Neurospora crassa OR74A: one gene and its partners. The protein of the gene in region 4 purifies or fractionates together with the protein of the main gene of each other region. This does not show direct contact. Links are inferred from orthologs where the notes say so. Each region holds a gene or a part of one and is shown on either strand. Other genes may lie near its edges. The genes, in order: NCU07870, ckb-2, NCU06929, NCU00133, NCU09302, ckb-1 and NCU04327.

Region 1 (2,856 bases), about 1.6 Mb from region 4:
GAAGAAGGACAAATACAAGGGTGGTTTGGTTTTCGAGCCAGAAAAGGGTCTTTATGACAAGTTCGTTCTCGTCATGGACTTCAACTCCCTTTACCCTTCCATCATCCAAGAGTACAACATTTGCTTTACCACAGTTGATCGAACATCACTGGTAAGTCAGGGTCCTTCCTCCGTTGACGTCACAAGCTAATGCAAAGTAGTCCGAGGACGATGATGCTGTTCCCGAGGTTCCCAAGGAGCAGGCGCAGGGCATTCTTCCCAAGCTGATTGCCACACTCGTTAGCCGACGTAGGCAGGTCAAGTCTCTGATGAAAGACAAGAATGCCACACCTGAAGAGCTCGCCACCTGGGATATCAAGCAGCTCGCCTTGAAGTTGACTGCCAACTCCATGTACGGCTGTCTTGGTTATACCAAGTCGCGCTTCTACGCCCGTCCTCTTGCCGTGCTCACCACCTATAAGGGTCGTGAGATTCTGCGGAGCACCAAAGAATTGGCGGAGAGCAACTCGCTCCAGGTCATCTACGGTGACACGGATTCCGTCATGATCAACGCGAACAAGGACAACGTTGCTGAAGCCCTGCGTGTCGGCCACGAGTTCAAGAAGGCCGTCAACGAGCGGTACCGCCTCCTTGAGATTGATATCGACAACGTCTTCCGGCGCATCCTCCTCCAAGCCAAGAAGAAGTATGCTGCCATCAACATGGTCGAGGTCAACGGCAAGTGGGTTGAGAAAATGGAGGTCAAAGGTCTCGATATGAAGCGTCGTGAATACTGCGGGCTATCCAAGGAGATCTCCAACCGTATCCTCACCGAGATCCTCTCGGGAGACGATACTGAGGTGTCTGTCCAACGCATCCACGAGTACCTTCGTGACATATCTGCCAAGATGCGCGAGGGTGCCGTCCCTGTGCAAAAGTACATCATCTCGACTCAGCTTGGTAAGGCGCCCAAGGATTATCCCAATGCCGACTCGATGCCGCAGGTCCAAGTCGCCCTTCGCGAGTTGGCCAAGGGCAAGACCATCCGTAAGGGCGACGTCATCTCGTACATCATCACAGGCGACAGCAAGACCACCTCAGAAGCCGTCGCCAAGCGTGCCTACACCCCTCAAGACGTGCTCAAGGCCGAATCTGGCCTGTCTCCGGACGTAGAATGGTACATCGGCAAGCAAATATTCCCTCCAGTCGAGCGTCTCTGCGCCAACATTGTCGGCACGTCGACCTCCCAACTCGCAGAAAACCTCGGTCTCGACGTCCGCCGCTACTCTTCCAACACCAACAACAACTCCTCAGGCCCACAAGACCTCGAAATCCACCCTCTCGAGTCCCAAATCCCCGACTCCCTACGCTTCCAGTCCTGTGCGCGCCTCTCCCTCCGCTGTCGCAAGTGCAAAACCTCGCACCCCTTCGAGGGCCTCGCTTCCCCATCATCCGTCAACAACGTCACGCCCTCCGGCATCCAATGCCCCTCATGCCAATACGTCCTCCCCATGCTCAGCGTCGTCGCCCAAGTTGAAGCCGCCGTCCGCGCCCAAACAGCACGCTACTACGAAGGCTGGCTCGTCTGCGACGACTCCTCCTGCGGCAACCGCACGCGCCAGATCTCCGTTTATGGCACCCGCTGTCTCGGATCCAAGGGTCTGGCGCGCGGCGAGTGTGGCGGCCGGATGCGGTATGAGTACACGGAACGGGACATCTACAACCAGCTGGTGTACTTTGCTAGTCTGTGGGACGTGGATAAGGCGAAGAGTAAGGCCAAGGAGAACAATGATGAAGATGTGGATGCTGCTAAGCTAAGTGCAGAGGAGAAGGAGAGGGTCGCCATCATGGCGGAACATAATCGTGTTAGGTTTGGTACGGTCAAGGGCGTGGTGGAAAAGTATTTGGATAAATGTGGACGGAGATGGGTGGCGATGGATACGCTTTTTGCCAAGTTGGGGTTTGTTCCCCAGTAAGTGGGCATGGACAGGAAAGCTGGATGGATGGGTATGTGTGAAAACGGGTACTAAAGTTGAGCGGATGGTTTCCCTCCAGTGTTCACATTGTCGACATCGGCGTTAAGGATTGGGCTTGTTTCCGAACTACGGGCTTCTTTTCTTGAATGATTATAACTTTTTTTTCGATGCCCTACGTTTGCAACTATTGTCAACCCGTCAACCCCTTTATATATCGTCATGTAACCAGTCTAGGATGGTGTTGGCCCGATCTACAATTTTCTTTGGTATATCTCACTCCCACTCCCAGGGCAGGGATACATCCCCGACCCTCTCGCCTCAACCCTAATCCCCACCCACATCCACAACTACCACATTACAGCCTTATAGTCCATACACCCAAACCAAACATACAATAATAGGCAAGATGGCCGAGCGGTCTAAGGCGCCACGTTAAGGTCAACCCTTAATCCGAGTGAAAATCTCAGTTCCGTGGTCCGAAAGGGCGTGGGTTCGAATCCCACTCTTGTCAGCACATCATGTATACCCCCACCAAGCTCAGGTGGATTTCACTTTTTCAGTATTCTTTTTTTCGCCTTTTTTTCTTATCCTGCCTTTTCCTCTCGGTTCTCGTTTGGGGGTCAATATGATAGAGACATAATATGAATCTAGGCCAGGCTAAGATAAACAAGATGCAAGAAAGATCTCCATATGCTTAATAGCCTTGTAAGACTCCCTTGATATAAACGCCTCCGACGGGACTGCTAAATAAAAGTACAGAGTTGATAGCCGACCATTCTCGATGGATGTGTGTTGAATCATTCCCGCTGCATGAGTAAAGATAAATTGAAATGACTTCCAAGAGACTCATTCCGTTGTTGCCCTTGATGTGATGTGATGTATCAATGACGAAATCACCTAA
Region 2 (3,918 bases), on a different chromosome or scaffold from region 4:
CCGCCTGCTCCAGAACATGCCATCCTCCCACGCGTGCTGTCACTTCTCTCATCGTTCAAGCAGTACTTGGACATTGTGGTGCAGTGTACCCGCAAGACGGAAGTGCGTTCCTGGCGTACTCTGTTCGCCTATCTCCCTCCACCTCAGGAGCTGTTTGAGGAGAGCTTGCAGCGTGGGAGCCTCAAGACTGCTGGCGGCTACTTACTCATCCTCCATACCTTTGACGAACTCGCAACAGCAAGCGAGCAGAGTGTGCGTCTCTTAAGCAGAGCAATGCGCGAGGGCGACTGGGAGCTATGCAAAGAGCTGGCGCGGTTTTTAGCAGCGCTCGATGAAACGGGGGACACGCTGCGTGAAGCAATGGAGCTGGCCAAGATGCGAGTGAAGCAGGAAAGTGAGCTGGAGGATGGCCATGGCAGCGTAGGCAGCGGGCTGGGCACAATGCTTGGAGTTCCTCAGGGTGGTGGTGCTAACGGTGCTTCCAGCACTACCAGCTCATTGATTTCCAATACCAAGGGGATCATAGGTAGTGACTGGGATGCTGACAGGCGCACAATCAGCGACGCCGGCAGCGTTGTCAGTGCTAATCGGTACGAAGGTTAATGAAGTGGATGGAAATTGGAAAGCGGATAGTTGGTTGTAGGATTGTTGGATATCCATAGCCGTGGCGCTCACGATCCTACCAGAACGTCACTTTATGATGAAGCGGGGGTCTTGAGCTCTAGACACATGCTGTAGGGCAACACAGATGTTATAGAAGCCGGGATGTTTCAAGATAATCTAGAACAGCTATAATCACAGGCGACTGGCGTTCTTATCCCCCATTTTTATTTATTTATATATATTTTTTTTGGGTTTTCCGTCTCCAACAATATACCTGCTCAAAAATAAGGCACAAACTGTAGCACTGAACGTCATGACGCCCAATAGAATACCTACCTTAATGACAGAGTACATGCTTCCATCCCCAGTACCTGTGAACGTACAATTAAAGTCATACGCTGGGCCGTTGGGCTGACTGAAGGCCGACGAAAGGTACCCGCCCGCTACCTACCTACCTACCTAGGTAGGTACTTAGGTAGTCAGATGGTCGATTTTGCAGACCTGATAACCTACCTCTGTGTAGTGCCCTGGGTAGGTCGGGACTGCTGATAAACAGACTGCGATGAGCCAGGGGCGGGGGGGCACTGCAACCTGCCCTGCGGGGACCACTGCAACGGCGATGAACCCCCCACCAAAAAAAAAAGTCCCTTGTCATGGACTGTCAGCCTGTTTGGCTCCCGGTCTAGAGTCCAGACCCCCTCGCCTGCCCTGCCGTTGCCCTGCACCAGGGACGGCTTTGAACCCTCTTCCACCTGAACTCCCATCAAACCGTCGCAAAAAAGCATCACAATCCTCTCCAACGTCTTGTCGTCATTGTGCCTTGTGCCAGCTCAATCTCATCCGACTCGGACCTCCCACTCCCCATCTACGGCCCGGCGCGCATTAGTTCGGCCCAACAAAAGGTTCAAACGCCGTACTTGACCCCGGCACCCGGGATTTTGGCCTCGTTGATGCGAAGCGCCAGCCGACGGTCGTTCGCGCCCACTTTCCTCCCACCACCACCTTCCTCCCTTCCTTTTATGCGCCGAGTATAGACGTGGTGTCGCCGGCCATGGATGACTTTGTGAGCGAGTCTGAGAGCGACTATGCCAGCTATTGGCGCGACTGGGTATGCTTCTCTTGCAATTGTTGTTATTGTTTACTACAGTAAAGGTTCCCCAATCATGCTGACATTTGCGCGTCCGCCTGCAGTTTATTTCCTCGCGAGGCAATGAGTACTTTTGCGAAATTGACGAGGACTACATCACTGATAGGTTCAATCTAACTGGTCTCAACACTGAGGTCCAGTACTACCAATATGCTCTCGATCTCATCACCGATGTCTTCGACCTCGACTGCGATGACGACATGCGGGAAACAATAGAGAAGTCTGCTAGGCACCTGTACGGTCTTGTCCATGCTCGATACATTGTCACAACGCGGGGTCTTCAAAAAATGGTCAGTAATCAACTCTCAGCATTCCATCTTCATCCAGCGTCTCCTCGTCTTCATCCGTGACTAACGCACTTCCCACCAACAGTTCGAAAAGTACAAAAAAGCCGACTTTGGCAAGTGCCCGCGCGTCATGTGTTCCTCGCACCCTCTGCTGCCCATGGGTCTCTCGGACGTGCCCAACTCCAAGCCGGTGAAGCTGTACTGCGCGCGTTGCGAGGATATTTACAACCCCAAGTCGTCGCGCCACGCCGCCATTGACGGCGCCTACTTCGGCACCTCGTTCCACAACATCTTCTTTCAGGTATACCCGACCCTGGTGCCCGCCAAGAGCGTCGAGCGCTACATTCCGCGCTGCTACGGCTTCAAGGTGCACGCCGCTGCCGCTCTGGTGCGCTGGCAGAACAGCCAGCGGGACGAGATGCGTAGGCGGCTGAGGAAGCTCGAGGTCGAGAGCGGGTTCAAGGACGCCGAGGACGAGGCTGAGCTTGACGATGATGACGAGGAGGAGGAGGAGGAAGAGGAGGAAGAGGAGGAGCTGGCTGCTATGGATGAGGCTGAAGGTGCCCAACAGCAACATGCGGCGGCGGCGGCAGGTACAGCAACGGGAGGCGTTGCTGCCGGCGGTGAAGGCGTTCATTAGAAAGGGCCTGCTGCTACTGGTGGAGAAGCGGATGAAGAGTATTGGAATTCAGAAGCCACGATTGGAGCCGCCGACGAAGCTGACGATGAAGCTGAGCTACCAAACGAGCCAAACGAGCCGAACCATTGGTTGACACCTCTCATGTCTGCTGCTGCAAGGCTGCGACGGAGTCTCAGGCTAGGGGAGGACTATGAAGAGCAGGCTGAAGTGGAGTTCGATGAGTGGATGGAACAGGCGAGGTACGGGATCTTTTGACTTTTGAGGTGGTGGAATGCATATACCATACAGTATCGAGTAACAAAGTATGAGTACAGGTGCCTCTCTTCTCTTTGTTTTTTTGTTTCTATTCCCGCACCCCATAAGCCTCTACACAGCGGACGTCGGGATCGATGCGAATAAGGGAGAGAGAGCCATTGATAGAGTGTTTATGTTCTTTGGTCTAGCTATACGTCTTTTCGGTTCTTACCAGACGATTTCTTCTCACCTTGCCGGCTTTGCTTCTCTTCGTCTGTGCTGAACTGCACCCTTCTCTGTTTCAAGCCTCCTAAAAACCAATCGTCAAATCGACGGGAAGTTGAACTTAACGCTTGAAAGGCAGTCTCTTGGAGCGTGAAAATTCAAAACGACCAGACCATATATCCAAGCGTCTACTGAGGAAAGATTCACAAGCGGTGTCATGCGGCAACACGAACCTTTCAAATACATGAACTGTTACCACAGCATAAACACGTTGATTAATGCCGAAGACCAGTGTGCTCAAACTTCCCTTGAAGAGTTACCAGGTAGATATGTGTACATATGGATAGGTTCCTCATTTCCCTATCTCAAAACGCCTCCTGAACATAAGAGAGACTGTACCAAAACCCATGTTGGTGACATAAAACCATTTGTTGTTCCTCATATTTCCTCGTTTAGAGAAATAATCGCTTTTGTCATCAAGCCCACCCATCCGGGCCAAGTCCCTACTTCCGGAAAATGCACCTTGACTCTTCTGATCCGACAATGCGTCGAAATTTGCCTTTCATATCTGATCGTCATTTACCCGTCTCTGTAAGCTGTGTCAACCTGTTCTCATTGATCAACGTCAAGCGACGGTGGTTTCCTCCCCGTGATGATCCCACCGGGCTGGTCCGGTCCCACATTGCTTTCCAAACCGGTGCCATTGGCCCGTACCACGGGGTGCCCATAGCTGCTGCCGTGATCTAAAGAATCCGGACTCAGCGCCTCCTCCTCGTCTCCCG
Region 3 (4,298 bases), on a different chromosome or scaffold from region 4:
CGCATTCTAACCTTGTCACTAAAAAGACTCAACAGCAACGACGCCAATCAACGGTTTCGGCAGCGGGATCTTCGAAACAAACCAACGGCGCGAGCAATGGGACTGATGGCGGTACAGGAACGACCTCACAGGCCAACGCTGCTGAGGAGAAGAAGACGACGGAGAAGGCCGAAAAGGCCACAAAGGAGAAAGGAGAGAAAGCCGACAAGTCATCGGCCCAACAGGCGCTTCGTTCAAAGGGCCCCCCGCCGCCGCCCAAACAACCTGATTATTCGGCCATCGTATTCGAGTTTGCGGGAGGAAACGGTGATCGGTACCTCTTTCCGAAGTTCAGCATTCTGGATTATCAGACTATTCCCAGTAGCAGCGCTAGCAGTACCCAAGGACAGCAACAACAACAACAGCAGCAACAGCAGGTGGTGGCGTCATTCCTTATCATCAGGAGGGGAAGCAAAGCAGTATATCCGATGGCGGACCCGGAGCTTGATTACTACCAGCCCATAACTATAAGGTTGTTTACGGCGGCTCCCAGTGGCAAACATGTGCTGGATAATTTGGCAAGAGTAGTGGCGCCGGAGGAAGAGGTCAAGAGGTACATGGACGATATCATGGATACCATGCAACGAAGCGAATACGTTCTACTGGCCATGAGGCTGCCCAGACCCACCGAGACGGCAGAGAACGGCGAAGGAGAAGGAGATAAGGCGCAGGACGGGGCCGGCGCGGCCGGGTCTGGAAAGGGACAACACGCGAAGGAGAAAGACAAGGACAAGGAGGTGGTGATGATTGATGCTCCATCAAGAGCGGAGGAAGCGGCGGCGGCGGAACTGAAAGCGCCAAAGGCGGCAAGGACGGGGGGAGTGTTGTGGACGACGGCAAACAAGCAGATACCCAAGCCGGAGATTAGGGAGCTTCCACCGAGGCGGAATGCTAGAATCATGATGGAGACCGCGGAAGATGAGCAGTATCAGAGCTTCATTCAGACGGTCACCCGGAAGGATAAGGAGGTGGTCAGGTGATTGTTTTTTTCCTGGAGGAGCGCTGTATCATGTAGATAGTTTTGTCTGTCTGTCTCTGCCAGGAGTTGACTTTTACTTGGCCGTGTTTACTAGGTATGAAAGGTTGCCTAGTAATGGTGTTGACAAGGGCAAACGAAAGGGAGGTTATCACGGTGCAGCGCTCTCTTCTACATACTCTATCAGCTGAAAGTACTTGTACTTCAGCCACGTGCGCAAATGAATAGACGATGAGGTATCTCTACCTACCTAGGTACCCGTCCTGGACTGCAAGGTCCTGGTCGAATGTAACCTGAACAAAAGGAACCTCTTGCCGGCCGGAGACCTGACCTTGGCCGCGAATAGCCTAGCGGCTTATTCCAGTGCTTGGCAGCAGCAGCAGCACACTCCCCTGCCGTCCAGTGTCCTCAACCAACCGGGGGTGGAGGTGTGACCGTCCGTGCTTCCAAGTCCACCCACTCACTGTCCAGTTGTGGGCCGTGCAGCTCTCTTTCCGCCTCACGACCCGCGGTGCTGCTGCTGCAAGTCTGCAACTGAACACTCACAGCGAGTCGACGCCTCAAAAGTCGGTCCATTTCCCACCACATCATCCATCGGCTCGAGGCCAGCCAATCTTCCTTTTCTCACCTACAAATATAATCCCACATCTCGCGACCTACGGCCATCTCTCCCTTCCTCTCTCCTTTTCCATCTCTCGCCCACACCTCGACACAACGCGCGACCGCCGGTAGTACGACTGTACGACACCCCTGTCGCTCGCCGCTCTCTTTCAGATAAATTATTCAGAATGGCGTCAAACAGCTGGCAGTTCGCCGGCGCCGACGACGAGTCCGACGATGACAACTTCAACCCCGCCCCCGCCGACATGTCGGACGAGGAGAACAACGACAACGACGAAGAGACCACGCACAACCACCGCCCCGCTGGTAAGACCGTGAGGCAGGCTAGTAGCCCGGTACCAGACGAAGAAGAGGAAGAGGAGGAACATGACGAAGAGGAAGACGCGCGCCCGGCCAAGCGATCGCGTCGAGATCACCACGACGATGACGAGGATGAAGAGCAAGATGAAGAGGAGAACGAGGAGATAGATGAGGAGGAAGAGGAGGACGAAGAGGAAGAGGAAGATGAGGAAGACGAGGATGATGTTCATGGTGTAAGTCCGGATCCCAATAATGTCCCTCCACACTTCAATTCTGCAGCACCATCCCATCCACACTTGCCAGAAAAAAACAACAAAAGACAAGTCCCGGTGCAGATGACCCGCCAAACCTACCCGTGTCGCCACATCGGGGACCTAGCTAACCCGCTGTCTTTTGTCCGCAGGGCAATCGTCGCAAGCGTCGCAACAAGGACCGTAGAGCTGCCTTCTTCGATATCGAAGCCGAAGTTGACGACGAAGACGAGGGAGAAGACGAAGTCGGCGACGGTGAAGAGATAGAGGACTTCATCGACAATGCCCACCCTGACGATATTGCCGACAGCGGCCGCCTTAACGATGACAGAAGACACCGCGAGCTCGACCGCCGCCGAGAGATGGAGGCCAGCCTCGACGCTGAGAAACAGGCAGAGATCCTGCGTGAGCGCTACGGCAAGCGCGCCCCGGCTAGAGGTTACGGAGACATGGCCATTGTGCCCCGTCGCTTGCTTCTTCCCAGTGTCGAGGACCCCAGCATTTGGGCCGTCAGGTGTAAAGAAGGAAAGGAGCGTGAGGTCATCTTCTCGATTATGCGTCGTATCGAAGAGCGAATGGGCACCAAGAACGAGGTCCCCATCACGGCTGCTTTCGAACGTGGTGGTATCAACTCGGTCATGAAGGGATACATCTACGTTGAGGCTCAAAGACAGAACGATATTCTCGTGGCTCTCGATGGCATTCTCAACGTTTATCCCAGGAGCAACATGCACCTCGTCGAGATCAAGGACATGCCCGACCTCCTGCGTGTCATCAAGACGCCTAACCTGGAGCCCGGCGCTTGGGTTCGTCTCAAGAAGCCGGCCAAGCACGCCGGTGATCTTGCTCAGGTTATCGACGTTACAGAAAACGGCCTCGAGGCCAGAGTCCGTTTCATTCCCAGACTCGACTACGGTGTCAGGGATGACCCCGTCTTCCAGGCCGATGGCAAGCGCAAGCGCCCCGGTGTGCCCGGCCCTCGTCCTCCCCAGCGTCTGTTCAGTGAAGCCGAGGCGCGCAAGAGACACCCCCGTTACCTCCAGGGGAACCCGCAGACCAACAGCTGGAACTACAACGGCGATGATTTCGAGAACGGTTTCCAGGTGAAAGACATCAAGATCCAGCAGCTCGAGGTCAAGAATGTCAACCCTACGTTGGAGGAGGTTACCAAGTTCGCCAGTGGAGCCGAGGACGGTACAGAGAACCTCGATCTTAAGGCTCTTGCTGCTACTCTCAAGGATAGCGCTAAGAGTGTTGCGTACGTCCCTGGTGATATTATCGAGGTGTATGAGGGCGAGCAGCAGGGTGTCATCGGCAAGGCCACCAATGTTCAAGGCGACATCGTCACATTGCAGGTTACCGAGGGTGATCTTGCTGGCCGGACCATCGACGTCCCCAACAAGGGTCTGCGCAAGAGGTTCAGGATTGGTGACCACGTCAAGGTCATTGGTGGCAGCCGGTTCCGTGACGAAGTTGGTATGGTTGTCAAGATCGTGGACGACAGAGTCACCCTCCTCACAGACCAGACCAACACGGAGATCACCGTGTTCAGCAAAGACCTCCGTGAGGCATCTGATATTGGTGGCCAAGGCTCTCTTGGACAGTACTCCCTCTTGGATCTTGTGCAGTTGGATGCCACGACTGTCGGCTGCATCGTTAAGGTTGATCGCGAGTCAGTCGTGGTGCTAGACCAGAACGGCGATACCAAACAGGTCCAGCCGTCGCAAATCACCAACAAGCTCCCCAAGAGGAAGTTCGCTGTGGCTGCTGACCGCAACGGCTCCGAAATCAGGCTGGACGACGTGGTCCGTGAATATGGTGGCCAGCAACGCCAGGGCAAGATCATTCACATTCATCGCTCTTACATTTTCCTTCACACCACGACCACCAACGAGAATGCTGGTGTTTTCGTCACTCGGGCTAACAGCGTCACCACGGTCGCGGCCAAGGGTGGTCGCAACACTGCTACTGCGGGCCCAGATCTCAGTGCGATGAACCCAGCCCTGAAGCGGAACCCCACTGCTAGCGGCAAGCAAATGCCAGCTCCGCGAACCTTCGGACCTGATCGGGCCATTAACCAAACCGTGGTTATTAGACGCGGTGGTTACAAG
Region 4 (3,957 bases):
GTAAGTGTGCAAGTCGGAAGTTCGGTATACTAATAGCTCCAGCTAAGGTTCAATTGAAGCAGGCAAACAAACGGCCCAGGCAACAAAGGAGAGCTTCGTTCTGTTTGAATAAAGAAACCGAGCGAAATATGACGATCAGGGCAGACGAGTGACGGAAGGAAGTCGAGGCGGGGCAGCTTGAGCGGGTGTGCGGGATGCCACCAGTTCAAGCATGTAATACGTCAATCGTGGGGTGGCGTATAAGTGCCCCTCGTGGTCTCCAGGTCAAGGCCGCAGGCAGGAACGTCTACGACGGGAATTGTCACCTTCGGTGAGCGAGTCTTCCGCCCTTGTGAAACAGCCAATGGGCACAACAAGAACGAACTAACTTGAGAGTTATGTTTGTGTTCAAGGGAAGAAAAAGAAAGAGATCAAGAAGTGGTACAAGGCAGAGAACATTACCACTTAAGGTGACTAAGTACCTCTAATACAATCCCATGTCATGAAACAGGCGCGGAAGATATCATATGCAACCACTTAAAGCTCCACGCGCTAGCCCCACATGCTTTTTGGGGGGTTGACGATATTGGGAATCGCGCCCATGTCCATGAACCGAAGCTATGTTGAGTTTGTTTAGTAGATTGAGAGTGGCAACCCAAGTGGCATATTTGGAACCAGTTGAAAGCTTCAAAATGCTCTGACCAAACAAGGAACGCTTGTCGCGAGGGGACACTTTTCCCACGTAACGAAGCGACTCGCTTGGAACGTCCTCTTTCCCTCCCGTGTTCAACGGGCCGAGCACTAGCGGAACGAATACAAGCAAGAAGGAGCGAGATACAAAGAATTCAAATGTGAAAAAACCACCCAACATAATTGTTGATCCGTAACTACAAGAGAATGGAAGGTGTTGTGTTACTGTAGATCGCGACAGATTGGAGGACAAGAGGACGCAGTTTCTTTTAGACATTCAAGATGATACAAACAGTGAATGACTCTCAGAGCGACAAGAAGGCCTGTGTGTCGTTGGCAAAGCTTCCTTGGAAGGTGACAACTGAATAAAGTGGTGGTGTTCTTGCAGGCTTGGGAGAGAAATCAGAAGCTCACAGTTGCCACGCGCTACAACCAAGCTGTTGCCCACTGCGTAGACCCTACACGTACAGTAGTACTGCGACTTGCCACCTGCCACCAGCATGGGTCGTCGCCTAGCCCAGCGGAATGCCACCTGCCAGCCGAATTAACCTTCAATTAACGAACTGGCCTAGTCGCGACACGGTCAACTTTCTCCGAGGCACGCGAACCTTCAGTTGGATTGTTCATCAGTATTTGCTTGCAACACTTTGCAATCACTGCCACAACATCAGACGCCATTTCCAACTTGTCCATCAACCCCAACTCACCATTAAACCAGTTGGATAGAGGGGCAATATGGCTGCCATGTAAGTCGCATACCTTTCTGGATTTCATGCTTTCGCGCGCTCTTGCTCGTCTAACCCTGCGACGACGGATGTGCCCCGCTCCATCTACGCCGTAGGGCACGGCTTTCACCGGCGGAGATCACAGCTCAGTGCCATTTCTAATACCTTCATTTACAGCGAGAGTTTTGACAATATCTACTTGGATCTGTCCAAGGAGAGCGGAAAGTCGAGATTCGCGGAAAATGGCTTGGGATGGAAACCTGCGGGTGGCGGCGAAGCGTTCACTCTCGACTCGAGCAACATCGGCGGTGCTCAATGGAGCAGGGCGGCGAGGGGCTATGAGGTTAAAATCCTATTGCGAAGCTCTGGCGTAGTTCAGCTCGATGGTTTCCACCAAGAAGTACGAAACCTATCCACGCGCCATCGAAGCGAAGGAACGCTGACGTGTTGCCACAGGATTACGAGCGCCTTAGCAAGATCTTCAAGAACTGGTACAGCGTGAACCTCGAGAACAAGGAACACTCTCTGAGAGGATGGAACTGGGGCAAGGCTGAGTTTAGCAAAGCCGAGCTCACTTTCAACGTCCAAAACCGACCGGCCTTTGAGATTCCTTACTCCGAGATTTCCAATACAAATCTTGCCGGAAGGAACGAAATCGCAGTCGAGTTCGCCGGCAACGATGGCGGCAAGTCGAACGGTCACAGCGGAACAGGCGGAAAGGGCAAGAAGGCGTCGGCCGGCAAGGATCAGCTGGTCGAGGTGCGCTTCTACATCCCTGGAACGACAACACGAAAGGAGGCCGAGGGTGGTGAGGCTGGTAGCGACGCCGATGAAGAAGAGAAGAACGCCGTGACTCTGTTCTACGACACCCTTATTGAGAAGGCCGAGATTGGTGAGACGGCGGGTGATACTATCGCTACATTCCTCGATGTGCTACATCTCACGCCCAGGTACGTGGAAACTGCACGCTGGTTGTTGATCCTTTTCCGGTGCTAACTCTCCCGATAGAGGACGTTTCGACATCGACATGTACGATGCCTCCTTCCGTCTCCGTGGCAAAACATACGACTACAAGATCCAATACGATGCTATCAAGAAATTTATGGTGCTTCCCAAGCCGGACGATCTCCATTTCTTGCTTTGCATTGGTCTCGACCCGCCCCTTCGTCAAGGTCAAACACGTTATCCATTTGTGGTGATGCAGTTCAAGGCGGACGAAGAGGTGACTCTTGACCTGAACATCACCGAGGAGGAACTCAACGGAAAATACAAGGACAAGCTTCAGAGCCACTACGAGCAACCACTTCATCAGGTTGTGGCGTACATTTTCAAGGGACTTGCGAACAAGAAAGTCACTACACCAGCCAAGGACTTTACAACGTGAGTTATATCTGTTCATTTCATAGCCAGCAACGGTACTGACCTAGGAACCCGCAGGCACCGTCAGCAGTACGGCATCAAGTGCTCTATCAAAGCCAGTGAAGGATTCCTCTACTGCTTGGAGAAGGCGTTTATGTTTGTCCCCAAGCCGGCCACGTACATCTCATACGAACAGACACAGTCCATCACGTTTTCACGCGTGGGCGGTGCGGTCTCGGCATTGTCGACGTTCGACATTACAGTCCACATGAAAAACGGCGCGGGCTCATCCCAATTCAGCAACATTAACCGTGAAGACTTGAAGGCTCTCGAGGAATTTTTCAAGCTCAAAGGACTGCGTGTCAAGAACGAAATTGATGATGACACCAACCTTATTGCCGCCGCCTTGGGCGATGACGACATGGCTAGCTCGGACGAAGAGGCCGTCGGCCCCAAGGCTGATCGTGGCTCCGCTGACGAGGATGAGGAGAGCGTGGATGAGGACTTCCAGGCTGAGTCCGAAAGCGACGTGGCGGAGGAATACGACAGCAACCATGAGAGTGATGGGTCGGGCAGCGAGGAGAGCGACGTCGACAATCGGGTCGATGATGAGGATGAGGATATGGATGATGACGAGGGAGAGAAGCGCCCCAAGAAGAAGAAGAAGACGGCTTAGGTTTATTTTTCATGTTGGCGCGTCGTTACTTGTTTGATTAAAAAGGCAGATCACAGGCTGGAAGGCAGGCAGGCAGCTGGGTATTTGGGGCGTTCCGGTACTTTCGTGACACGAATATGTGTTAATTCTGTATTTTCTCTACCATATATCGATACGATACTTGGGGCGTCAAAGACGACATTCCCAACGGCAGTGTCAAACTAGTATCTCGATGTTCCCTCAACTTGGGCGCGCAATGGAGCTAATGAACACTGAAGAGCGGCAGGCAGATGGTCAGCTACCTAGTTGATCCGTTATGGTTCTTTTTTTTCCCCTTCGACTACAACGAACATAAGACATCGGCACATCCTTTGAGACTTCGCTTCTTCTTCAGGGCCGCAGGATGGATAGAGGCCGTACTCCAAAAGTACGGCATGGAATGTATCAGCCTGCAGGGCGTGCAGGCGGTTGAGGTGGGTATCGCTCTAGCGGTCAAAAATCTACCTACCTGGTAGGTAGGTACCTACCTCTATGCGTTCCCGCTCTGTC
Region 5 (4,133 bases), on a different chromosome or scaffold from region 4:
AGGTAGGCGGGGTAGAGAGGGCCGTAAAGGTGCATGGAGAGTCTCTCCTGATCTGGTTCGAACTCGTAGCCGTACTCGTAGTCTCCATCTTCTTGCACCTCCTTGGTCTTACGTCTTGTCTTCTTCACAGGCGCCTTGGGGACCGCGGACCGGTCGGTAATGCCCAGCTTCTTGACCATAGAGAAGACCTCCTCTTCCAGGATATCCCATAATTGAAAGTCGGAAGTGGCAGCTCTCATCTTCGACTCGACTCGGGTGCGTTCTTCGCGTCTCATAGCTTCCTCGGCAACTTGCTTGCTGAGGGGATCGGCGGGGAGCTGTTCTTGCGTTTGTTCGGCGGTTCGGGCGTTGTCGAGGATCGACGATCTCCCCGTTCCCTTGTCTGCTTCAAGGATACCAAGGGCCATGCGGGCGGCCTGGCGCAGGCTTGGAGGGAAACGCAGGAGGGCGCTGTCACGGTCGACGGCGCGTTCTGTCTGTCCAACGGGCGAAAGGGGATCGAAGGGTCGCTGGACAGGCCGCCATTCCTTGCTGTATGCGGCGGAGGCGTCTTGGAGCAGAATCTTGACGGTGTTGTGGGCGGCTTCGGGGTCGGGGTCTTTGATGCTGATCTCCAACGGGTCGTCTTCCGTAGTCTTGTTTTTCTTGACTATGTCTTGAAAGATGGTGTCGAAAGCATAGCGCTCTGTGGGGGTTAGGGTTGTCTTTTGTCCCTCGCCGAGGTCTTCTGGTTGCCATTTCCGCCTGGGCTTCTCGAATTGTTGACTTGGGAGGTCGAAGGGGATAGGATCTCTGCCGAGCATCGATGGGGCTACTCTTCGGCCACGAGATGGAGGCGAACGAGAATCGAATTTGGATTCGGATCTGTAGTAGGCGCGTAGGGCTGTTGTCCTGAGACTGGTAAGGGACAAGCGCTGAATAGTCCTGGTCTGGTAAAGAAAGGGAAACATGGTTGTCGACGACATGGTGGCGATGGTTCGGTTCCGCCGGGTTTCGGTATAGCGACTATGGCCTCTAATTCTGTGTCCTCTGATATTGTTGCAAACAGGTACCTGTATCGTGTCCAGCACGGTGTGACAGCATGCGATTTGTTGGTGGAAGGATGGGGAGAATGCAGGAAACCGCTCCAAGTCAAAAAGTTCCCAATCCAAAATTTTGGAATCGATCAAAGATTCCTTGCCTGCCGGAACGGATTTTGCCCCGCCAATGTAGGTAGGGAGCTGCTAACAATAACAGCGCAAATTGACACGGTAAACCGTTAGTGCATCGAGCGCTAAAAGACCCTACCGGCCTCAACAGCGAATGGCTATCCCGTGATTTCGTGCGCCGATTCGTTTCTCGTGCATCGACGCGACCCGTCGGGTGGCGCGCCTTTGAGATTTTAGTTCCATTGATTTTCCATATCGATTGCGACCATCTGCTGCATTAACCACACTCGCGTTGCTTCCTGTCCTTCCCCTCCGTCCATTCTCGAACAATCACAGCGTTTGGTGACCATCTCTTGTTTTTGCAGACCCGTTTTTGTCAACTCTCATTGTCTTTACCAAATCGTCCTCCTCGAGTCCCAAGATGCCTCCACGCAAGAAGGAAACCGTCATGAGCGAGTTCGAGCGCAAGCGCCTCGAGAACATTGCCTACAACAATGCCATCCTTAGCGGCATCAGTACCACGGCAGACAAGATTATCCCGAAGCCAGCGCCTCCCAAACCCAAACGCGCCAGCACCCCTCGAGTCAAGCGGGAACCTGTCAAGAAGGAAGCAGCCCGTCCCACGCGCCAGAGCAGTCGCCTCGCCGGTCTCGAAGCGGATTCCGCAGTTCTCAAGCGCAAACTAGATGTCGAAGCTGAGGAGGAAGCGGCAAAGGCCAAGGCCAAGAGGATGCGCGTCAGCGGTGACTTGAACCTGGGCGATATCACGGTCGAAGGTCGCAAATGGGAAAGCAGTGCCGACGGTCTAGCGCTTCTGAAGGGTCTCGGTGTACGAGGGGCGCAACCAGGCGTGAGGACGTTTACAGAAAAGGATGTCAAGCATACCAAGGACAAGGGGTTGAAGGACCTGCGGTTGCGCATGAGCGGACTCAAGTTGTACGAGAAGTGGGCAGTCAATGGTACCTCTAACCCAACAACGGTCCCTACGACGATGGATGTTCCACTAACAAAAGTGTTGTAACAGACATTAAAATCGTACCCCAGCGCATCTACTCCATGTGCTTCCACCCCACGGAAGAAAAGCCTATCATTTTTGCTGGCGATAAAGAAGGCGCCATGGGCGTGTTCGACGCCTCCCAACCCACGCCCAAAATTGAGGACGACGATGAAGATGCCGAATACCCAGACCCCATCATATCCGCCTTCAAAACCCACTCCCGCACTATCTCTTCGTTTCACTTCTCTCCCACCGACGCCAATGCCATCTACTCGGCCTCGTATGACTCTTCGATTCGCAAACTGGACTTGGACAAGGGCATTTCAACCGAAATCTTTGCCCCGTCCTCTTCGTCTGAGGATCTCCCCATCTCCGCCATCGACATCCCGACCACCGACCCAAACATGATCATCTTCTCCACCTTGCACGGCTCGCTAGGTCGACAAGACCAGCGCACCAAACCTTCCTCGGCCGAAATTTGGGGCTTAACTGACCACAAGATTGGAGGTTTCTCCCTGCACCCTCGGCATCCCTACCTTGTCGCGACCGCCTCGCTCGACCGCACTCTCAAGATTTGGGACTTGCGCAAGATCACGGGCAAGGGGGACCTCCGCCACCCTGCCCTTCTAGGGGAACATGAATCCCGTCTTTCCGTTTCGCATGCTTCCTGGTCTTCGTCAGGACACATTGCCACTTCTTCGTACGACGACCGCATCAAAATCTACAGTTTCCCCTCGGCTGGCGAGTGGAAAGCTGGGCACGACATACCGGCAAAGGAAATGCAACCGACGGTTGAGATACCGCATAACAACCAGACAGGAAGATGGGTGACGATTCTGAAGCCGCAGTGGCAAAGAAATCCACAAGATGGGTGGCAGAAGTTTGCCATTGGAAACATGAATCGGTTTGTGGACGTTTATGCAGAGGACGGAGAACAGTTGGCGCAGCTGGGAGGGGACGGGATCACTGCGGTGCCGGCGGTTGCCCACTTTCACCCAACCAAGGACTGGGTGGCCGGCGGGACGGCGAGTGGGAAATTGTGTTTATGGATGTAGTGGTGGCAGTGTTCATGTGTCTGGATAGCTGGGTGTTCCTAGTGGTATTTCTTGATTTTTGCTGTACGGGGTGTATTCTGGGACGATGGAGTTTCTGCGATGATACCATGTTTGGATGACGAGATGTTGGTGGCAATAGCCTCATGACGATGACTGAGTGTTTGGCTTTCGCCTTGCCATGGCATTTATTCCGTCCTTGCGCATACGAGGCCATATAGTCTTGGATTTATTATTTCGTCTCTTATACTCCTTTTTTTTTTTTTTTCCTTTCCGTTCTTTTTTTTCTCCAAGCTGGGTTGCACCGTTCTTACAAAGCCACCAATAGGTACTTTTGTGTCTTGGTGCCACGCGAATGGTGAACATGATTGGTAGCGCAACCACTCGGCCGGTGAGATCTCTGGTGTACCTGAATAGGATGTCTCCAAGTTCTTGTGCTTGATGAAGTTCCGCAGGTATAGGTGGTTATGGAACCTTTCCATGTCTCTTCTCCCAATCAGGTAGCCTAGGGACTTGGGATCACATGTAAATAAGGCATACGTGGCTGAAGTCGTAGCCAAGTTGCCCAACCGTGTTTTGGACCAGGCACTTTGACGTCGCTAGCAAACATACCTGAGAGTAGCGGGTCTCTCCATATAGTGTAGCATCCTGGCAGCCCATAACGTGTGGCATAGCAGGAGTCGAAGATTTGATTTTGGCTGTCAATTGGCCGCGACAAAATAAGCCTCCAATGAAGCCAAAGCTGGGACCGGTATGACGCTCCGGCGGGGAGGGACAACAGGCCGTCTAACGATGATGGTTGCAACCACGACACATGACAACATCAAAACATGCATGGGCCACTCACTTGGGCATATCAGGTTGTTGTCGCAGCACAACTTTCAACAGACTCGCGTCTCACGGCATGGCCAGCCTGTCCCAACATGTTGACCGGAG
Region 6 (3,923 bases), on a different chromosome or scaffold from region 4:
ACTCCTCGAATAAATTGGCATATCCATCTCTGTCTTCAACAACAATCACAATCTGTTTACTTTGTCTTCTTCTGTCAATACTAATATAGCTTGTATATTCGTCGTCGGTCGTTCTTTGCATCAGGCTGATGAGATTGGTAACATACGCTTGTGAGATGTGAACCCATTTTCCTGATTGGTAGGTATTTTGTAAATTCACATCCCAAAATTCGGTAGCCGCAGTATAGGAAGAAGACAGGCTAAGATCTGCGTGAGTCAGCATGACAGTATGGCATCGAGAGAATAGTCAACAAGACTGTTGAAGAAAGACAAGAATTGTAGGTCGGGGGGGGGGGGGGGGGGGGGGGAGTTGGAAGAGAAAAAGAAAATGAAAAAAAGGAAGAAACAAAAAAGGTCATAGATAAAAGGATGGAGTAATCCGATGGTCATGTTACTGACAGAGTCTTCCCGTATGACCGGCTTATGACGGACCCATATTTGCCAGCAACAAAAATACCTATCTTGGAATGTAGCTACCATGGTCAGAAGGGGTTCCTCCGCGTAGGGGGTGGTAGTGAAGTGGAAAAACCAAGATGATTTAATTTAAAACTGCGTTGCGAACTGACGGGTAAACCACAAGAGGAACGAACAATATTGCGTCCTCCTCTCATCGTCTATAACCGGCATGCAATCATCATTGGAATGCGAATTTACGTCCGAGTTCGCTGTGTAAGAGAAAATCAACCTTGATATAGAAAAAGGAAAAGAAAAAAGAAGAACCCCAACCCAACCAAAAAGCGCTCTTGCAAGCTACTGTAACCGATTCCTGAACCCGTCCGTCCATTCCCCCGCCATGACGTAGAGAATCAGAAAGAAAGCCCAAAGGATATTTGTGCGTGTGATACAAATCAATGCCAGGTTTAGAGGAAGATGTAAAAAAGAAGTGATCAACAGTCCGTTGTCCAGATGCTTGCGCACACAATTCCTTACTCCTTACCTACAAAACCTGATCCTCCCCTTTCAATATCCATTTAAACCCAAGTTCCAGCCTACAACTTCGACCTCAAAGCTCCGACTCAGCCCCATTCTGTTCGATCGCCATCGGACTCCCGTTCTGCTTTTGCCTCCTAGGAGGCCCCCGCCGCCTCGAAGCTGTCCTGCTGCTCACACCCATGCTCTCGTCCTCGTCATCCGACCCTTGTTGTTCCGCATAGCGACGAGCCTCGTCCAGCACGCTCAAGTCGTCAGGCTTGCTGCGCAACCACTGCATGCGTGGCCCGGAACGCGCGATTTCTGACACCTTGAACCCGTAGATCTTGGGCTGGTAAATCTTGCCCCTGCCCAGCCCCGGCGCTATGTTGCGCGCGTACATGCCGTTAATGACGGTGGTGTCGTCAGAGCCGGATCGTGTGAGATTGCTAACGCTCTCAGCGCCGGTCTTGGTCAAGTCGTATTCGGGGAAGGTCATGAGGAAGAGCGCGCCAAAGGTGCGGCCGAAGAAGGCGCCGTCCACCGTCTGGAAGCGGCTGTTTGGCGGTACGTAGACGTCCAAGCAAGACGGGCAGAACAGCTTAACCGTGTCTTCGCCGGGCGTGTCCGAGAGGCCGACGGGCAGCGTGCGGGTCTGGTTGCAGTTTGTGCGTGGGCAGATGCCGAAGTGACCGAGCTCGTATTTTTCCGACATTTGCTGGATACCCGCCCGCGAGCAGATGAAGCGCTGATGGATCAGACCGTACAGCATCTCGGCCGAGGACTCGATCACAGAAAGATCGCTCGCGATGCGGCTGTGATGTCTCCTTTCGCCGTGGGGCTTGTTGATGCCGTCGCCACCGGACATGTCTTCCTCGTCCTCCTCGTCCTCCTCCTCCTCGTCATCATCGTCCTCGGGCTCGACATCAAGGATCATCTAGTCAGGTTAAAACCACAATGATTAGCTGCTGACGTAACGGACAAAAAGGTTCCAGAACAAGCATACCTCGAGAGCCTCCTTGTACATGGCGACCTGGGTCTGCAGGCCAGTAAGGTTGAAGTCATCTTCGATGAATTCTTCTGACACTTCGGCAAAATACTCGTGTCCCAGGAGGGAGCAGAAAGATGCGATCCATGACTCTGGAACGCCCGACGAGCTCGACATGGTGGAATTGGATATGGAAGCGACGCGAAACGATTCGAGTGTTTGGCGACGGAGTAGGCGTTCGATGAGGCTGTTGGTACCGCTATCGGACGTTATCTGATGAGTGCGATCGAAAGGCGCAAGACGACGACTGGGTATAGCTAGTGTCCCTTGGGGTCGACGCTCATCTGCGATGCTGGATGGAAGGGTTCAATTGTTTATTGCGTAGACATGACCGAGCGCATGAGATGGCGCAAATAGATGGACGAAAGGACAGACAGAATAGCTAGGCGCTTCAATGATTGTCTACGTGGTGTTGCAGCGAAGGAGGTGGTTGGTGGTTCCCTTCCTGTGCTGTTTTTGGAGTTTGCGCTAACGGAGGCCGTCGACTCGATGGCTCAGTCTGTTTGCCTTTTGGGGTTGCTCGAGAAGAAGCCCGCGCCCTCATTTCGTGCTACAGCCCACTCGTGGGTGTCTGGTCTGTGCGGCGCGCCCCGTCTTTTCAGTCTGGGCCCTTCCCAATCCTCCTCGTTCAACCCTTCCCGCAGGGAGCAGCCCCGCGCCCAGCCCCACGGTAGTATGATGCCTGATTTTTGCGCCTTCTCACATAACCCTGCTGAGCCCTGCCACATGCGCGTGCGGCAGCGCGTCGGAACCCAACCGTCTACTTTATCAGGTGGAACCAAGATAAGTAAAGGGTCCATTTGGTGATGGTTGATGAACGCAAAAGGTAGCTGGCTAGACCCAAACTGGTCCCTGGCTAGTCCCCCCCACATACTTTCGCTGAGTAAGCCCAGCCAGCCGCCCAGCCGCCCAGCCAGTACACACATACAATAGAGGCCACGTAACCGATGCCCGCGCATTACTAGATCTACGTCTTTTACGTTATTCTTTTTTATATAAGGGTATTCAAAAATCGTTAATCTAGTTAATTATCCTAATAATCTACTACTAAGGCGGTTAATACTATAGTTGCTAGTAATACTACTGTCCTCTTTGCTAGTTCTAATACTATACTTATTGCCTAGAGTTAGAGTGTACGTGCCTACCCTAATTTTAATACCCGTTGTATAAATACTATCCAAAGTACTACCTAGAGTATTGGAGAACCCCTATATTATATCCCTATAAATATACTAGAAATATTAGAGGTAGTGCTATAGGGGCTGGAATTCGCTTATACTATATTGCTAGTATAACCTATCCCTCCCCTTATTATTAGTTAGAAGGTGGCGGACTATCCTAGTATTAAGGCAGCTATTTAATAGAAGCTAATAATTTATAATTGAATTAATTAGGGCCGGTAGGAGTTAGTATATAGTTATAAGATGGCTATTACTAAATTAGCGGCTATTATTAAACTTAGGGATAAGGAGATAGAGAGGGTGTTAGAGTTCTCTATAAGGGAGTTGGGGGGTAAAAAAGCGAAGGTAAGGGAGCTAGCGGTATTTTTAATATTAATATTTGCTATAATATAATACTTTCTATAAAGTTCTAAATAAATACTTCTAAATCTACCCGCGTAAGGCCCTCTCCTATTAACTCCTACGTTACCGCTCGTTAAATACCTCCTCCTCCTTTACTTTTACTATAGTAGCGAAATATAAATATTAGCGCCCTCCCCCTTCTCTAAGTATTTTACTATATTACCCGGTAGGGCGGTTTATTATAAGAGAATATATAGTAGTTATTATACTGGTTACGGTTGATAAATATGGGGTTAATGGGTTAGGCGGACAATCCTTAATTACCTTTAAAATTATATAGTTTATAAACCTCCGGATTTATAAAGTTATATTCCGATACTCTACGTATATAATCTATAAGGTTT
Region 7 (3,949 bases), on a different chromosome or scaffold from region 4:
CGGCAGAAGGCTTCGGAGATGCGGATGATGGCTTCCAAGTGACGGACCTAAGGTGGTGGTGGGTGAGGTTAGCAGTTGTTATTGTGTTGTATTTTGTGACGGAGGAAGAAAGAAAAAAAAAAAAAAAAAAAAAAAAAAAAAAAAAAAAAAAAAAAAAAAAAAGGAAAAAGGAAAGAGGGAAGAACTTACAGTAATAGGATAAGCCCCCGTCGCCAAACTCTCCCTTCTCATATCCGCAAACAGCCTCGCCACCTTATCCTCATCCATGTGATACAACTTTGGCTGGCACCGCTCTCGGGCATAAAGGATATACTTCCTCAACAGCTCTTGTGGGATTTCGCCCTCTTTTTTACGGCCGTGTTCACCAGTTTGTTGGGTTTCCGCAGCAGCTTGGGTATCGTGTTCAACCTCCATGGAGTCACCACCGCTAGCGTCCTGCGTGTTGTTGTTCATCAACGGATGACTCCTCGAATGCGACCCGACAATGAAGCGCGCCAGCCGCTCATCTTCTTCAGGCTCGACTGTGTCGCGCACGACGCAAAGGATGTCGAAACGAGACAGAATCGGCTCGGTAAGCTCCACGTTGGCAGAAAAGGGAATGGTAGAGTTGTACCGCCCGCCAATAGGGTTAGCAGCGGCGATGATTCCGCACCGGGCTTGCAGGGTCGTGACGATACCGGCTTTGGAGATAGAGATGGTCTGCTGCTCCATGGCTTCGTGGATGGACGTGCGGTCCTGGTCGTTCATCTTGTCGAACTCGTCGATCAGGCAGGTGCCCTTGTCGGCGAGGACGAGGGCGCCGCCCTCGAGAGTCCATTCGGACGTGAGCGGGTCGCGCCGGACGGAAGCCGTCAGACCGACGGCGGAAGCACCCTGGCCGGTGGCGAAGACGGCGCGGTGGGCCGTCTTTTCGGCGTACTTGAGTACTTGTGATTTGGCGGTACCGGGGTCGCCGAGGAGCAGCACGTTGATGTCACCGCGGATGTGGTGGGCGCCGACTTGCTTGGCGACGCCGCCGAAGAGGGAGAGGGCGACGGCGGTCTTGATGTCGGTGTGTCCGTAGATGGAAGGGGCGACGGAGTTGATGATCTTGTCGACAATGTGCGGGTCGCGCGAGAGACGGCGAATCTCGTGCTCGTCTTCCTCGGTCATGCGGAAGCCGGCGAGCTGGTCGTGGGATTTGACAATGTTGTTGGCTTCGAGGATGGTGGCGAAGACGGGGAAGCCGTTGCGGTTGTTGAGCTGCGCGTCGTAGTTGTTGCGGTAGATGCCCGTTACTTCGATCTCCTCGCCCGGCTTGGCCTTGTCGATCAGGTCCCAGAGGAGAATGACCTCGCGGTGACGGGGCAGACGACCGGCGGGAACGGTGCCGGGGGATTCTTGGAGGGTGAGCTTTTGGTAGTTGCGGTAGACGGTCTTCTCGGAGTTAAGGGTGAAGGGGCCACGAGACTGGCAGGACTGGCAGTAAGAGATCTTGACTTCGACGTTGGACTCTTGCTGGAAGGGACCGAGAGTGACGCCGCACTTGGTGCAGTCGAACTTGACATACTTGAGCTGGGGGAAGACACCGGTGCGGCGGGTGACGACACCGCTCACGCGCACAAGACAGTTGAGGTGCGACTGGCGGAGCTGACGGAGGGTATAATGGATAGGAAGGTCGAAGATACGGACGTGGATCTCGGCGTGAATGCGCTCGTAGTCGGGGTAATGGAGAAGGACGACTTCCATGGCAACCTCGTCGAAGAGCTTGAGCATCTCGGTTGGCGCATTGGCGAGGAAGTATGCGAGAATGGCCTTGGCTGTAGCGAGGTGCTCGTAGGAGACCTCGAGAGACTCGGCGTTGATCTCACCAAGAGTACGGATGCGGTTGCCGTAGACGGACGAACCGCTCTCGTCGGTGTATTCTGTGAGGAAAGCCTTGAACTCTCTGCGGATGGTCTTTTGTACAGCCGGGACTGAGATCCATTCGCTCAAAGTGGCAGCCTTGACATCCATCAGGGCCTCGAGGGGAAGTTCCGAGTCCATAATGTCGCCATCCATATCGACATCGGGGTCTTCATTGTAGCGGATTCTTCGGCGGCGTTCCAGGTTGGTAAGGTCGATATCACCATCGTCGTCATCACCAGGAAGATACGTGGTGCCCATTCCCATCCTCACTTGACGGTCTCTCTGGGCCAACTTGGCTTCAAGACGGCGCCTTGCGGCGGGGTCGAGGGCCTCATACTCGTCATCGTCGATGTCAATTCCTTCGTAGGCGTCGTTTTCGTCTCGTTCCCTATAATCGCGCTCGAAGCCTTCGCGGAACAAATCTACATCGTCTTCGGCCAACTCGTCGAGGTCGTCAATGTCGTCTTCGATTTCAGCGGCGACGTCTTCCTCGATGTCGTCGTCCTCATCTGCGCCATGGGCAACTGGGAAGGCGGGAGGAGAAGAGGGCATGACAGGGCTCGAAGCGCGGGGAAGCGAGGAAGCACCATCGTGATCGTTACGCGCACGCTTGCGAGTGGCCCTGGGAACGGCGCCACGGTTGGCAGAGGACGGGTTGTCGCGAAGCGGGGAACTGGTATTGGAGAGTTTCCGTTAATTCACTGTTTACTTGCGAAGAGAAGCCGTGACAGACGAAAGAGCAAGAGGCACACATACCTCATGATTGCGACTTGGCTGAGGGTATCTCAGAGGACTGTAGCCAGCTACAGATGGAAGAAACAAGAGAGTGGAGGATGCTGGCCTAGTTGTTACTATGGAGAATGAATGCCAGCCAGAAAGAGGATATGTTGCGGGGTGAGACAGAGAGAGAGAAGGGGGGGGGGGGGGGGAGGGGAATGGAGACAAACAGCGTCGAGGAACCACTGAATGAATGTTGCCCTTCGTTGCGGCGACCTTGTCCCTGCTTTTTTCTCGCGTTGCAGTCCAGGGAAGACGCGCCAGACGTGATGCGCTAAGCCGGATAAGGGCGGTCGCGTTAAGTGGTTGCTGAGGTTTAATGGGCTTGGCAATGCGTACCGGACCCACTTGGTGCTGCTCTTACACGCCAATTCGACTCGTCGAGATTCCCAAAAAGTCACAAAAGCTCAAAGTCCAGTGAACAATGACGAGCAAAGCATGAGCTATAAGGTGCTACATACTACAGGGCCATGTTATTGATCGGATCACGTTCAAATAGGTTTCCTTGAACCCAATTCCAATCTGTGCTGCTTGGACATATAGACCACAGTGCCTTACACCAAACCAAGGGTACATTGCAAGCTCGGTCCTTCTCCCCACGCTTCCACCAACGCGCCCTCCTCCTCCTCCTCCCCCTCCTCCTCCTCCTCTTCGCGCCCCAGCAATTGTTTTTTGTTTTAAAGACTTCCGGACAGAACCCATCTTTCGTGATCCAGCACCATCTCGAGGCATTTGTCTTATCAACAATTTTGATAGACCACCGACCATCCAAGATTGACCGTGAAAGCATCCATCACCCATGGACCCTCAACCGGCGCAACAGCCCGCCGAGGCCACTCCAGATGGCCATGGAGCTCCAGCACCAGTCGCGCTCACCAAGACTCGTACTGAAAGCTTCTCCGCCAAGTCAGAAAACTCTCAGACTGCCGCAGAGTATGTTGTCATATATTGGACTTACCACATGACAAAGTACTAACCATGGTCTAGCTTCATCCGCGACCAAATGCAACTAGAGGCCGACGCTCGCGAAGCTCTTCCATACGTGCGTGTCCCTTGTCTTCTCTGCCCTTTTCCTTAAAGTCAATCCTAACCTCCCACCAGAGCATCGAAACCTGCACCAAGCCCCTCGGCCCCCTCCGCCAGGCCGTCTTCTCCTGCCTGACCTGCAACCCACCACCCGCCGACCCGAAAGCGCCCTACAATGCGGCCGGCATCTGCTACTCCTGCTCCGTCCAGTGTCACGGCGAGCACACTCTCGTCGAGATCTTTGCCAAGCGCAACTTCA

Evidence for each region.
Region 1: the proteins of NCU00133 (region 4) and NCU07870 purify together in Saccharomyces cerevisiae (affinity purification with western blotting; 4 studies listed by BioGRID, with this or other methods). This does not show direct contact. The link is inferred for Neurospora crassa OR74A from reciprocal best matches to the Saccharomyces cerevisiae genes POB3 and POL1.
Region 2: the proteins of NCU00133 (region 4) and ckb-2 purify together in Saccharomyces cerevisiae (affinity purification with mass spectrometry, with the first as the bait; 4 studies listed by BioGRID). This does not show direct contact. The link is inferred for Neurospora crassa OR74A from reciprocal best matches to the Saccharomyces cerevisiae genes POB3 and CKB2.
Region 3: the proteins of NCU00133 (region 4) and NCU06929 purify together in Saccharomyces cerevisiae (affinity purification with mass spectrometry; 5 studies listed by BioGRID, with this or other methods). This does not show direct contact. The link is inferred for Neurospora crassa OR74A from reciprocal best matches to the Saccharomyces cerevisiae genes POB3 and SPT5.
Region 5: the proteins of NCU00133 (region 4) and NCU09302 purify together in Saccharomyces cerevisiae (affinity purification with mass spectrometry; 3 studies listed by BioGRID). This does not show direct contact. The link is inferred for Neurospora crassa OR74A from reciprocal best matches to the Saccharomyces cerevisiae genes POB3 and CMR1.
Region 6: the proteins of NCU00133 (region 4) and ckb-1 purify together in Saccharomyces cerevisiae (affinity purification with mass spectrometry, with the first as the bait; 3 studies listed by BioGRID). This does not show direct contact. The link is inferred for Neurospora crassa OR74A from reciprocal best matches to the Saccharomyces cerevisiae genes POB3 and CKB1.
Region 7: the proteins of NCU00133 (region 4) and NCU04327 purify together in Saccharomyces cerevisiae (affinity purification with mass spectrometry; 3 studies listed by BioGRID, with this or other methods). This does not show direct contact. The link is inferred for Neurospora crassa OR74A from reciprocal best matches to the Saccharomyces cerevisiae genes POB3 and MCM2.

What each region holds. Positions count from the first base shown.
Region 1 is NC_026503.1:1,179,566-1,182,421, reverse strand, and holds the end of NCU07870 (DNA polymerase alpha catalytic subunit), read left to right. Parts: coding exon 1-151; intron 152-200; coding exon 201-1,955; 3' UTR 1,956-2,356; downstream 2,357-2,856. Other genes in the region: NCU07869 (INSIG domain-containing protein), read right to left, coding at 2,849-2,856. UniProt on the Saccharomyces cerevisiae protein: Catalytic component of DNA polymerase alpha, which in complex with DNA primase (DNA polymerase alpha:primase) constitutes a replicative polymerase. POL1 has a role in promoting telomere replication during interaction with CDC13.
Region 2 is NC_026501.1:3,448,660-3,452,577, forward strand, and holds ckb-2 (casein kinase II subunit beta-2), read left to right. Parts: upstream 1-1,280; 5' UTR 1,281-1,654; coding exon 1,655-1,711; intron 1,712-1,794; coding exon 1,795-2,040; intron 2,041-2,122; coding exon 2,123-2,677; 3' UTR 2,678-3,418; downstream 3,419-3,918. Other genes in the region: NCU11228 (DUF1339 domain-containing protein), read left to right, coding at 1-603; NCU02755 (PAP2 domain-containing protein), read right to left, coding at 3,749-3,918. UniProt on the Saccharomyces cerevisiae protein: Regulatory subunit of casein kinase II/CK2.
Region 3 is NC_026507.1:793,248-797,545, forward strand, and holds the start of NCU06929 (transcription elongation factor spt-5), read left to right. Parts: upstream 1-1,498; 5' UTR 1,499-1,803; coding exon 1,804-2,169; intron 2,170-2,339; coding exon 2,340-4,298. Other genes in the region: NCU06928 (hypothetical protein), read left to right, coding at 1-1,019. UniProt on the Saccharomyces cerevisiae protein: The SPT4-SPT5 complex mediates both activation and inhibition of transcription elongation, and plays a role in pre-mRNA processing.
Region 4 is NC_026503.1:2,736,417-2,740,373, forward strand, and holds NCU00133 (FACT complex subunit pob-3), read left to right. Parts: upstream 1-1,157; 5' UTR 1,158-1,404; coding exon 1,405-1,415; intron 1,416-1,571; coding exon 1,572-1,794; intron 1,795-1,850; coding exon 1,851-2,344; intron 2,345-2,402; coding exon 2,403-2,774; intron 2,775-2,831; coding exon 2,832-3,429; 3' UTR 3,430-3,693; downstream 3,694-3,957. UniProt on the Saccharomyces cerevisiae protein: Component of the FACT complex, a general chromatin factor that acts to reorganize nucleosomes. The FACT complex is involved in multiple processes that require DNA as a template such as mRNA elongation, DNA replication and DNA repair.
Region 5 is NC_026507.1:10,021-14,153, forward strand, and holds NCU09302 (WD repeat-containing protein), read left to right. Parts: upstream 1-1,333; 5' UTR 1,334-1,569; coding exon 1,570-2,107; intron 2,108-2,172; coding exon 2,173-3,200; 3' UTR 3,201-3,850; downstream 3,851-4,133. Other genes in the region: NCU09303 (hypothetical protein), read right to left, coding at 1-965. UniProt on the Saccharomyces cerevisiae protein: DNA-binding protein that binds to both single- and double-stranded DNA. Binds preferentially to UV-damaged DNA in vitro. May be involved in DNA-metabolic processes.
Region 6 is NC_026506.1:1,759,333-1,763,255, reverse strand, and holds ckb-1 (casein kinase II regulatory subunit), read right to left. Parts: upstream 2,547-3,923; 5' UTR 2,114-2,546; coding exon 1,955-2,113; intron 1,886-1,954; coding exon 1,043-1,885; 3' UTR 501-1,042; downstream 1-500. UniProt on the Saccharomyces cerevisiae protein: Regulatory subunit of casein kinase II/CK2.
Region 7 is NC_026505.1:5,630,912-5,634,860, forward strand, and holds the start of NCU04327 (DNA replication licensing factor mcm2), read right to left. Parts: upstream 2,801-3,949; 5' UTR 2,649-2,800; coding exon 2,644-2,648; intron 2,561-2,643; coding exon 190-2,560; intron 48-189; coding exon 1-47. Other genes in the region: NCU04328 (metaphase-anaphase transition protein), read left to right, coding at 3,464-3,597, 3,652-3,706, 3,766-3,949. UniProt on the Saccharomyces cerevisiae protein: Acts as a component of the MCM2-7 complex (MCM complex) which is the putative replicative helicase essential for 'once per cell cycle' DNA replication initiation and elongation in eukaryotic cells.